3 linked regions of the Caenorhabditis elegans genome follow. The protein of the gene in region 1 interacts with the protein of each later gene in a pairwise test. Each region holds a gene or a part of one and is shown in the gene's direction. Other genes may lie near its edges. The genes, in order: pak-1, hipr-1 and chw-1.

Region 1 (3,756 bases):
ATAGTTTTGCTGCTCACTGAGATTTCAGGAAGCTCCAAATGATAAGTGTCGAGAGGTCGAGATGTTAGGTGGTTGTCCAAGTTGTTCTATCTCTCTTACTCACATCTCTTACTCCCTCTTCACCCCTTCCTGTCGTGTATATGTGTGTGTGCGTATGTCTGGTTGTGTGTGTTCTTCTTCATTTGACCGCTATCGATTGATTTTATCTCCAACGACATCCTCCCCTCATCCGTCCGTTTTGCCCCTCCGCAGCTCTTTATCAATTGCCTTGGCCGCATCATCCGCGACCCACCGTACTAGTTATCTTTCTCTGTTTCCTCCATTCAATTGATAACACTAGAAAATGGCGCGCGTTCAACAAACACAGTGCCATTCTCCATTTCTAGCAAACAGTCCAGGTTTCGAACTGTTTTTTTTCTACATTGTGCAAAATGAGATTGGATTTCTTATCGACAGTGTAATAAAATCTTAGATACCTAGATTTTGTTTCTCATTTTTCTTTTTTTTTTTTCTTTCGGTTTTGTGATTTTCCTTTGGGTTTTTGCAGGTCTAGATTGTAAATATTCCCAAATTAACAGATTATGTAATGAGGATTCTCAAAAAATGTTCAACAATTTTTTATGGCGGTCTGAAATTTTAAAAACACCTAATTTTAATTAAAATTGGCTATTTTTTCATGTCTCAGCTGTTGGAAAATTTATTTTGAAGATTAGAATGTTTTTATTGCATATTGGTGATTTTCTTACATTATTTTGTTAATGAATGTACATTTAAAGCCCATACGTAATTGAAAATGGCCACAATCAACCCCCTATGATTTTTATGAGGTCTCATTATTAAATTTGTTCCTTTATGAACATTTTGAGTGCTTACAAGTAAAAACCCAAAACCGATACCCCTCCTTTAATCGAGAATAGTATTAGACCAAAAGTATCATCATTCACCGTTAGTATGAATGCAAACTTTTCAGCTTTTTTTCGGCTTTCACTTTCTAATTTCCTAAACTAGTTCTCAACATTGTCACTCACTCCGAACCTCGTTTCACAGTTTCTACTCTTTTCGGCTTCACACTTCTAGAACATTATCCGGCTGATTGCCACTTGGATGACAAGCGGGAAACAAGTACGCGAACACACGGTGGTGGGCGATAAAATGAAGTGAAACATGAATGACTCATATCATCACACTTTAAAAAAGATTCCCGTCTCTTCTTTTTCTCCTTTGAAAAATATTCCTTCTTCTTCCTCTGGCCCAGTTTATTCACCATCCATCATCTCCTAAACTTTGAAATCTTTCGTTTTGAAAACCAAAAAGCCATCTATCTTTTTCGGGTCAAACTCACGTCAGACGTTGGTTGCAGATAGGCTCTTTGAAGCAATAATGCAAATGAGAACTCCGAAGAAAAGGTCAAATTCTGGGTCCCACATTTTCCATAACTCCTACCCTGAGATTACTAAAAAAATATAGAAAAGCAATCCAATAGACGACCTCGAAAGGCGAAAGGGCCATGCTTTTTCGGTCCAAGATTACTCATAGCACTGGGTCAATGTCCTCTTTACACCATGTGTTGTGCATCCATTTCCCTGCCCGCTCCTATCAATTTCCTCTTTTGTTAGTCATAGTCCAACAATTTTTTTATAAGGGGGCGGTCAGCAATTTGTTCTTTCTTTTTCTGATTCTTTATTGTGATCGTTTTTCTATGTTTTTTTGACTCAACAAAACATGAATATTGGTTCCAATTTTCCTATTTTTCCAACAGTTTCGATTTCACTTGACAACGAAAATTCCTCCTAATTATTGTTTTCCTTTTTCAGTTTTACATTGCATACTGTATTCCTTCATTCTTTTTTGGTTTGATGCTTGTGTCTTCTTTTTCCAACAGTTTCAATTTTCCAGGCTTGCCAAAATGAAAGCTTTCTCATCGTATGATGAGAAACCACCAGCACCACCAATTCGTTTCAGCAGCTCGGCAACGAGGGAGAATCAGGTAATTAACTCGTCCCTCCACTCCTCCCCAAAGATGGGCGACAATCTTTCGAAGGTTCTTCTTCCAAATCAGATGATGCATGTGTTGCTTGCCCCTCTCCCACCCATCTCTATTTCTCTTTTTTCCATTCTCCATGTCTTGACTAACTCAATTTTTCAGGTCGTCGGATTGAAGCCATTGCCCAAAGAGCCAGAAGCAACCAAGAAAAAGAAGACGATGCCTAACCCGTTCATGAAAAGTAATATATTGCTCTTGTAACCATTCCTGATTTTCCTGTTTTTTTCAGAGAACAAAGACAAAAAGGAAGCGTCAGAAAAACCAGTGATCTCTCGACCGAGCAATTTCGAACACACAATTCATGTCGGATATGACCCAAAAACCGGCGAATTTACGGTCAGTATTTTTTCAAAAAGTTTTTGTAGCAGTTTTCCCACTCTTGCGTTACTTGCAAGATTATTTTCCAATGATGAACGAGTGATACAGCTGTCATTCTGACACCGGTCGCAACCGCTAATCGTACCAGATTAACGTGAATGCTAATAGTAAGCTAAAAACTAAAAACTACTACTTTTACTTTTTCCCTCAGTCAAAAAATCATTATAAACAAATCTCAATTTATAATAATATTTTGCAACCGTTAATTCAGTGCATTATCTTCTAAAAACGTGTTATTCTTGAAACCATGGTTAGTGTTAATAAAGCTTGCGTTTTTGAGACGTTTTAAGAAAACAAATCCATACGAGAAAAATTTAAGTGAAGCCAATTATCACGAACATGTATTCAACCAAAGATAGTTTCTTCTAAAGACCTATGAAATTGTCCCAATTTTTTTAGTATGAAGAGGTCTGTTTTGTCGAATAGACTTGAGAAACTACTGTAGAATCTTATTTATAAACTTTTCTCAGAAACTTTTGCTCCTTATCAACAATATAAATTTTCAGGGAATGCCTGAAGCATGGGCACGTCTTCTCACAGACTCACAGATCTCAAAACAAGAGCAGCAACAGAATCCTCAGGCAGTGTTGGACGCGCTCAAATACTACACACAAGGCGAAAGCAGCGGCCAGAAGTGGTTGCAGTACGATATGAGTAAGTAACCCGTAGTCAGTCTTGCTAATGGAGCTCATTCTTCTACAGTGTTTATAGATGACGCACCTTCTCGGACGCCATCATACGGACTGAAACCGCAACCATATAGCACATCATCCCTGCCGTATCATGGCAATAAAATTCAGGATCCAAGAAAGATGAATCCAATGACAACCAGTACAAGTAGTGCGGGGTATAACAGCAAGCAAGGAGTTCCTCCGACGACGTTTAGTGTAAATGAGAATAGATCGAGTATGCCACCGGTAAGTGGGAAGAATAATCTTGAAGTTCATATTGATTGCTTCAGAGTTATGCACCGCCACCGGTCCCCCATGGTGAAACTCCTGCTGATATTGTTCCTCCCGCTATCCCTGATAGGCCGGCAAGGACGTTGAGTATTGTGAGTAGAATTTTTGGTACTTGTGTATTACATGCCCTTAGTTTTAGAGTATTTTTTTAAGTTAAAAACAATAAAAACGTGTACCACATTTTTTATTTCTAGGTTTAGGAAATAATCTTTCTAAGCCTGGAGAGGAAAAATGTATATCACGTTTAAATTATATGGAGAAATGAATGAAAATTTAATTCAATTTCAAAATGAGGGCATGTAATACACAAGTACCGAATTTTTCCCAAGTTCTCTATAACATATAAGTATATTTTCAGTACACAAAACCGAA
Region 2 (3,756 bases), on another chromosome or scaffold:
GATTACCAATCGTTTCCAGCGATTTTCACATATTTTTCCAGAATTTAATACAGATTAATATTTTCGAAAAATTTAAACATTTTCTTTTCACATTTTAATTCATCTCTATTCATTATGCAATACTCTTTTGGTTTTCAAGCATCCGACATTCCTCCGTTTCATTTATGTTTGCATTTCTGCTGGCATGAATGCATTTCATTGTGTCTCGATGAGAAAAAGGACAATTTCATGAGCTTATCAGTTACTTCGTTTTCAAAATTTTAATGTTGACCAGCCATTGATGTCATATTTTGTCTAAGAAGCTCAAGAACTATTATTTTTTGAAGCTTAATTTCGAAGAGCAACATTTTTTTTCATTAAAATTCAGCAGTCATTGTTCTTTAAAAAGTTTTGATTCTCGTTTTTAAACGATTTTTAATTCAGTCGAGAATTGAATAACTTCCCGATTTCCCGGCCACCATCGTTTAATACCTTTTCTTTATGAGACTAACTTCCAAGTATGCAAATTGCAAATCGACGCAAGGGGAATACACTCGCTCACTTCTCATCGAAATTCGAAACCTTTTCCCATTTTCTTTCATGTCTTTTTCGCTTTTCTCCTCTCTGCCCATTTCCATTTATTTCTCAAACACCGTTCAGTGAACACGAAAACCCTTACGGAAATTGTGTTGTAAGAATACAAAAACTTCCGTAGCATAGCGAGAAAGAGTCACCATTTTGTAGTGTTTGCCCCCGGTGGTATAGTTTGCACAAGTTTCTGAAAGAAGAAGAAGACACATTTGAGGTCTTATGCACATAAAAATCAATGTTAGACTATCTTTTTCACGTAGTTTTCTTTTGCAAAGTGGAAACTTCTCATTAAACACTTTTTGCTTTTCAATTGTCTGAACAAGTTTTCGATTAAACAGCTGTAAAGCTTTTGCAAGTTTCATGGTTTATGAACTATTTCGAATCGGTTACATTGCTGAAGTTTTAGTGTTTCTTGAATATGTCGTCACTACCAGGACTGGACCAAAAATCAAAAAGAATTTAAAGTGAAATACCAAAAAAAAAATCGTCGATTTGCGATTTTTGAAGGACTGTAAGTGACTTTTTTGGCTTCATTTAGGTCCCAAAAAACCTTTTTTTTCTCAAAAAATGTGACTCAAAATACCAAAAAAGTCTTAACCTGATCACTTCGCCTTCTCAACTCAAGCCATTTTTGCTGTTTAGTTCGAATATGGAACAAATCATAAGAATCTTGAGTACCTATATGCGATACCCGATTCATTTTCCTCTCTTCTAAATAACATCATTTCCTCTCTTTTTCCCTCTCTCTCTCTCTCTGTTTTTGTTTGTGACTCACTTTGTCCACAACGCGCGCGGAACCGGCTTGTTGCCACACACACACTGTGATGAAATATGCGGGAGGAAAGCTTTTCGCCTAATAGTTGACTTACTTTTCATCTATATTCCTCAATTTTGCAACTAATAGATTGATTTGTCATGGTTTTGATTTCAGGGTTTTGAATATTCTTTGAAATTGGAATTTTTAACAAAAATGCAAATTATGTGCCAAGTCATATCTCCTCCTCACACTTTTTCTATCACATGCCCCCAAAAAAATTAATTTTTTTCAGGAATGGATCATCGTGCTCAAGCGCGCGAGGTATTCGTTCGAGCTCAACTGGAGGCTGTTCAGAAAGCGATCACGAAAAATGAGGTTCCATTGAAACCAAAACATGCGAGAACCATAATAGTAGGAACACACAAGGAGAAATCATCTGGAATCTTCTGGCATACTGTAGGACGGATTCAGTTGGAGAAACATCCTGTACTCACTTGGAAGTTCTGTCATTTGGTGCACAAATTGCTTCGAGATGGACATCGAAAGGTTCCTGAAGAGACTTACAGGTGGGGTTTCTTTGAAGGAGTGATAATCTTAAATTCAATATTTTTCAGATATGTTAATCGATTCACTCAACTTTCTCAATTCTGGAAACATTTGAATACAAGTGGATATGGTCCATGCATTGAGTCATACTGTAAATTACTTCACGATCGAGTCACTTTTCACAACAAATATCCAGTTGTTCCGGGGAAGTTGGATTTGAATGATTCACAACTGAAAACATTAGAAGGAGATTTAGACAATATGTTTGAGATGACAATTGATATGTTGGATCAGATGGATGCACTTCTTGTATTGCAGGATAGAGGTTTGTAATGATTTTTTCAAGTCTGGAAAATTATTGAATTATTAATTTTCTATTTTTCAGTGTATGAAATGATGAATTCCCTACGCTGGAATTCTCTAATTCCACAAGGACAATGTATGCTTTCTCCACTGATTATTGCAATTCTGGATACCAGTAAATTCTACGATTATCTCGTTAAAATGATCTTCAAACTTCATAGTCAAGTTCCTCCAGATGCATTAGAAGGTCATCGTTCCAGATTCCGAACAATTTTCGAGAGAACTAAGAAGTTTTACGAAGAATCATCGAATCTTCAGTATTTCAAATATCTTGTTTCAATTCCAACATTGCCATCTCATGCACCGAACTTCCTTCAACAATCCGATCTTGAATCTTATCGAACACCTCATGCATATCTTCATTCGGAAGGTTCAGAAGATGGAACTTCTCTCAACGGACATGACGGGGAATTATTGAATTTAGCTGAAGCAGAGCCACAACAAGCGAGTCCATCGAGTCAGCCAGATCCTAGAGAAGAACAAATTGTTATGTTGAGTCGTGCTGTTGAAGATGAAAAATTTGCGAAGGAACGACTCATTCAAGAAGTAAGAGTTGATTATTAAAATATAGTTTTTTTTTAAAACTATCATAAAAATAAACAAAATACAACATTTTTTACTATTTTCCAGGCGCGCAGCCGCATCGAACAATATGAGAACCGTTTATTGCAAATGCAAGGAGAATTTGATCACGCAAAACGAGAAGCTGATGAGAATCGAGAGGAGGCACAGAGACTGAAGAGTTCGTTTTTTTTTTTGGAGAATGATATTTTTCTCAAAATTAGTTGGAAGTCAGATTATTATTAATTAGATATATTTTCAGACGAGCTTGCACTTCGTGATGCATCAAGAACTCAGACAGACGATGCACGTGTAAAAGAAGCAGAATTGAAAGCAACGGCAGCTGAGGAAAGATTTAATAAAATGAAAGGAGTTTACGAAAAGTTCCGAAGTGAACACGTTTTAGCGCTCACAAAATTAGGAGATATTCAAAAACAACTAGAAGCTAGTGAAAAATCGAAATTCGATAAGGACGAAGAGATTACTGCTTTGAATCGAAAAGTAGAAGAAGCTCAACGAGAAGCTGGAAGAGCTTTGACAAAGGCGGAGGGTGATGCTGGAGCAGTTGATGAGATGAGAACTCAATTGGTTAAGGCTGATATTGAAGTTGAGGAGCTGAAAAGGGTAAGATTTGAATTTTTTAAAGTTTTATATACATTCAAAATTCGGAAACTCCTAGACTTTTTTTATAATTAAATTTATCATAATAAATTCACAAATTTTTAAAATTGAAATTCTCACTTTGAGAGAAAGGGTGTCATCGAAAAAATAAACATTCCCGAAAATCAAAAAATCGAAGAAAACATTTTTTTTTTCATTCGAATTTCGTTTATTTTGATGAGAAAAACATAAGAAAATATATATTTTTTTCTTAAAAAAAAACAAAAATGGTTTAAAAAATTGAATGCTGTTTTTTTGTTGAAAAATTAGAAAATCTGAAAAAAAAAACAAAAATTTCC
Region 3 (3,756 bases), on another chromosome or scaffold:
TTTACTACAATTTGGGTGATTCAGTCCATAATTCTGTAGTGTGAATTGACGATCAACACCTCGTAAATTCCCATCAGACTTATTTCTCCGATAGCTATGAATGGTTGATTATTGAACCAGAAATATATGGAAAGAAAATGAAGAAAAGTGAAAAACAGGTTCTCAGGAAATCAGAAATAATTCTCGATGAATGGACAGTTGAAAATTCATCTCACACTCTCCTCCGTTATTATCTGTTATCAGCAAGCAGATTCCTTTTGCCAATTTTTCCATTCCTTTCGATGATTTCTTCATTGACCATATATCTTTTTTGATTGCCTCTTCTACACATTCCCAATTTTGTTTATTCTGACAAGGTCGAATCATGGTTTTTGTATTACGGACGGATGTATATATGAAGATACTGATATCTCTTTTATACGTAAAAGTATACATACCTTTGTTCTTTTCTTCTTATTTTCAATGTATGAATGAACATTTGGTATTTGAATGTTAACTACCAACTGATCAGAGACCTTCTCGATCATTGTTTTCTTTCCGTTTTTTGGGTTCTCTTAGGTGGAGACGTCCAAAAAATTTGATACAATTAGAACATTTTGGGATTTTATAGAACTTATTTTACCAGACAACACCTTTTTTATCGCGAAAATTAATCTCAGTTTTTCCTTTTTGAAACATTATATTAAATTTATCGTTTTCATGTTTGTTAGCGTAGCATGATATTTCAATGTTTGAAAACATTGTCCACACTTCTAAAACTCCTAATCATTTTAAGAAAATTTCTAAATTTTAATAATAATTACTAACTTTGATAATTGACAAATAACTAAAAAGTGGTTTGGTTCTCCATTTGTCTCTCTGTCAAAACAACAAAAAAAAAACTGAAACTTACAAGCCGTATTATCAAATCTCTGTGGTAATTCAAACTAAAACGTTTTGGCATAAACATTTTTTCTAAAATTGTATGCTAACTAGGACCTATCCCTGGATCAGGTTTCTTTTCTCCCGTCACCAATTATCAAACATTATCTACATCCATTAATCGACGCAATTATCGATCAGGGCGATAGACGGATTTGGTCATTTCTTCATGACTTTTTATTCTTCTCATCATGACTTCTATTCATCAAAAAAAAAAGATTTCTAAATGTTCACACATTTGCTATGAAAACAGTTGACGTTGTAACCCTGTAGTAGACCAGTTCATTCCTTCTCTTGCTTCCTTCTTTACCATTTTAGTTCACTCGCCGCTTTTACCATTTTACTATTATTGTTATTACTAATACTATAATATCATAGAGGTCATTTGTATTCGTTGCGTTCCCCGCTTCCCGAAAACCAATAAAACTTACGAGAATAATGACCGTATCTATTAGTTCTTGCATCTCAGCTACTCAGTACCAAGTTACCATCCAGATGACCCCGTAAATTTAAAAGTCAAAAGAAAACCCATGATTGTAAAATCATGAAAATCATTGGAAAAGAAGCAGTGAATCATTGAATCTTTGTCGCCACGTAATCACATTTTCTTGGTAATGGATCTTTCCCATTATTTGTCAGTTATGTTAATGTTCTACCCGTTTCTTATCCAGTCTTTCGATACTTCTCCCTTTCTACTTTTTCCCCTTTTTTCTCGCATCATTTACCTCATTTACAGTCTATCACACTTCTCCTCAACCCCCTAAAGTAAATAATTCACAGATGGCAAAAGAAGAAGATGAGAAATGTCTCAAATGCATTTTTGTTGGAAATGCGGCAGTTGGAAAAACTTCGATGATAGTTAGCTACACGACAAATGTTTATCCACACAACTACGTGCCAACGGCATTTGATAATTTCTCAGTTGTTGTTCTAGTTGACAAGAAACCAATACGTCTACAGCTTCATGACACCGCTGGACAGGTTAGTGACTCACTTATATTTTGGGTGATTCTAGCAACTGGTCCAACTGATTTCATTGGCGCAATTGCGGTTTCCATTAAAAGTTGCCGAATTGATGTTATGTTTTCTGGAATTAAAAAATGTTAGCATAAAATATTAATTTATTTTTCAAAAGATATTTTGAACTACTTATGCACTGGTTCCATATTTTGGTATTTTTTAGTCTCGCATAAAATCCTTCAATTTTAGATTGCCGGTTTTGTATTTGTAATTTAATAAAATCGAAACAAACATAGGTATTTATAAATTATCACCACCCCAAAGTACAACTTTTACAGTTCAATCTCAGTTTTCATTTGTTCTATTTGAACATTGTCAACAGGCAAAACATTTTTTAATTATTTTTATATCATTGTGCAATTAGGTATATATTTATATCATTATCAAAATAAACCGCGATACCACTCTTCAAAGTGAGATAGTAGGGGTGCCATAATATTACAGAAAATACTGTAAATATTTAGTTTGGCAAAAACTACAAACTAAGATTCTAACTAAAAATTTGAACGACAAGCTATGTATATCGGAAAATTCAAGTTTAAAAGTTAAAGCTCAATTTTGTAAAGTTTACAACTGAGAAACTACTCACCCAGGTTTTTGAAATTATACGGAAGTGATTGCACAGTTGTTGTTCTGATAGGAACTGAACTTGAAGTTGCTCTGATTCTTTGAATACTTGGTGGTAATTTACGAATATTTGGTTGATTGAACCTCCTCACTGGATACCTACAACTTCTAATGTTACACATTGACCAATACAATACAAGTTAACCTTTGGAAACCAAAAGAAAATCCAATGAAACATATTATCAAAGTTGAGACTAAGATTCCAGAAGGATACATTGAGAACAAGTGAGCTATTCAAAATGAGATGCCCATTCGGATATGCGGCTTCGTTTTATGGTAGACAAGAAATTTAAAAACAAATAATGTCTCTGCCGAGGTGACAGGGTCGGATGTCAAATCGAAAATAGAGAAATGCACAATGGCGGATACAAATACCGGATGAGTTTCGGACCGGCGCGCGCAATCCGGAAACAATAGAATAACGGCATTTCAAAGGGATTGAGCATTCGAGAACAGAATTTAGTTTAAAACGAAGATGTATGGCATGCTATATTAACTTTTTGAGTTTTCACACTCATTAAAAGATCTCTTATGGGATTTTTGCCCCATTTCTGTACGAGGAAAAGTTCAGAAAAAATTTATTGCACAAATATTACTAATATGAATGAGTAAAATAGATTACAAACATCCCAGAACTGATAAACCACCTTTTCAAAAATAATATACAAATTTACACTTTGATCTTAAATTTAATTAAATTCCAAATTCTTTTTCAGTCCTCATTTGACACTCTTCGCCCGTTGTGCTACACAGATGCTGACGTCTTTGTCATTGTTTATTCAGTTGTTGATTTACAATCATTTGAAGATGTGTCACATCACTGGTATCCGGAAGTCACCAAGAGAAATCCGGGGACAAAATGTATGTATACAAATTTTTGGACACAGTCCATTTTAATAAAATTTTCAGTAATTCTGGTGGGAACTCAAGCTGATCAGAGATGGCAAGTACGTGGGAATACTGTCACGCAGTTACGCGGAAAAGCTTTAGCAGACAGACTCGGAGCTGAATTTTTTGAATGTTCAGCACTGACACAACACAATTTAAAACAGGTTGGTTGATTTCTTAGAACTTCGCAAAGATATTTGAATTCACGAAAAATTTTCAATCCAAACAACATTTCTGTGTTTTATCTCCTGATTTTGCATGAATAAAATACTTCGGTATAATTAAACACTGAAAATAAAT

The links.
Region 2: the proteins of pak-1 (region 1) and hipr-1 interact in a two-hybrid assay, tested with the Caenorhabditis elegans proteins (one large-scale study listed by BioGRID).
Region 3: the proteins of pak-1 (region 1) and chw-1 interact in a two-hybrid assay, tested with the Caenorhabditis elegans proteins (one large-scale study listed by BioGRID).

What each region holds. Positions count from the first base shown.
Region 1 is NC_003284.9:6,046,749-6,050,504, reverse strand, and holds the start of pak-1 (Serine/threonine-protein kinase pak-1), read left to right. Parts: upstream 1-1,900; 5' UTR 1,901-1,906; coding exon 1,907-1,987; intron 1,988-2,146; coding exon 2,147-2,225; intron 2,226-2,273; coding exon 2,274-2,380; intron 2,381-2,928; coding exon 2,929-3,076; intron 3,077-3,124; coding exon 3,125-3,339; intron 3,340-3,383; coding exon 3,384-3,476; exon of another isoform or gene 3,477-3,625; intron 3,626-3,742; coding exon 3,743-3,756. UniProt on the Caenorhabditis elegans protein: Required for hypodermal cell fusion, together with cdc-42 and ced-10, leading to embryonic body elongation, which involves dramatic cytoskeletal reorganization.
Region 2 is NC_003281.10:8,718,583-8,722,338, forward strand, and holds the start of hipr-1 (Huntington interacting protein related 1), read left to right. Parts: upstream 1-1,619; 5' UTR 1,620-1,621; coding exon 1,622-1,893; intron 1,894-1,941; coding exon 1,942-2,198; intron 2,199-2,258; coding exon 2,259-2,782; intron 2,783-2,866; coding exon 2,867-2,978; intron 2,979-3,059; coding exon 3,060-3,421; intron 3,422-3,756. UniProt on the Caenorhabditis elegans protein: Regulates pre-synaptic vesicle recycling at neuromuscular junctions of mechanosensory neurons. Plays a role in maintaining a normal defecation cycle.
Region 3 is NC_003283.11:10,460,581-10,464,336, forward strand, and holds the start of chw-1 (CHp/Wrch Rho-like protein homolog), read left to right. Parts: upstream 1-1,701; coding exon 1,702-1,902; intron 1,903-1,915; coding exon of another isoform or gene 1,916-2,008; intron 2,009-2,530; coding exon of another isoform or gene 2,531-2,667; intron 2,668-2,713; coding exon of another isoform or gene 2,714-2,784; exon of another isoform or gene 2,785-2,796; intron 2,797-2,811; exon of another isoform or gene 2,812-2,966; intron 2,967-3,284; coding exon 3,285-3,429; intron 3,430-3,477; coding exon 3,478-3,620; intron 3,621-3,756. Other genes in the region: F22E12.3 (ShKT domain-containing protein), read right to left, coding at 1,916-2,008, 2,531-2,667, 2,714-2,784.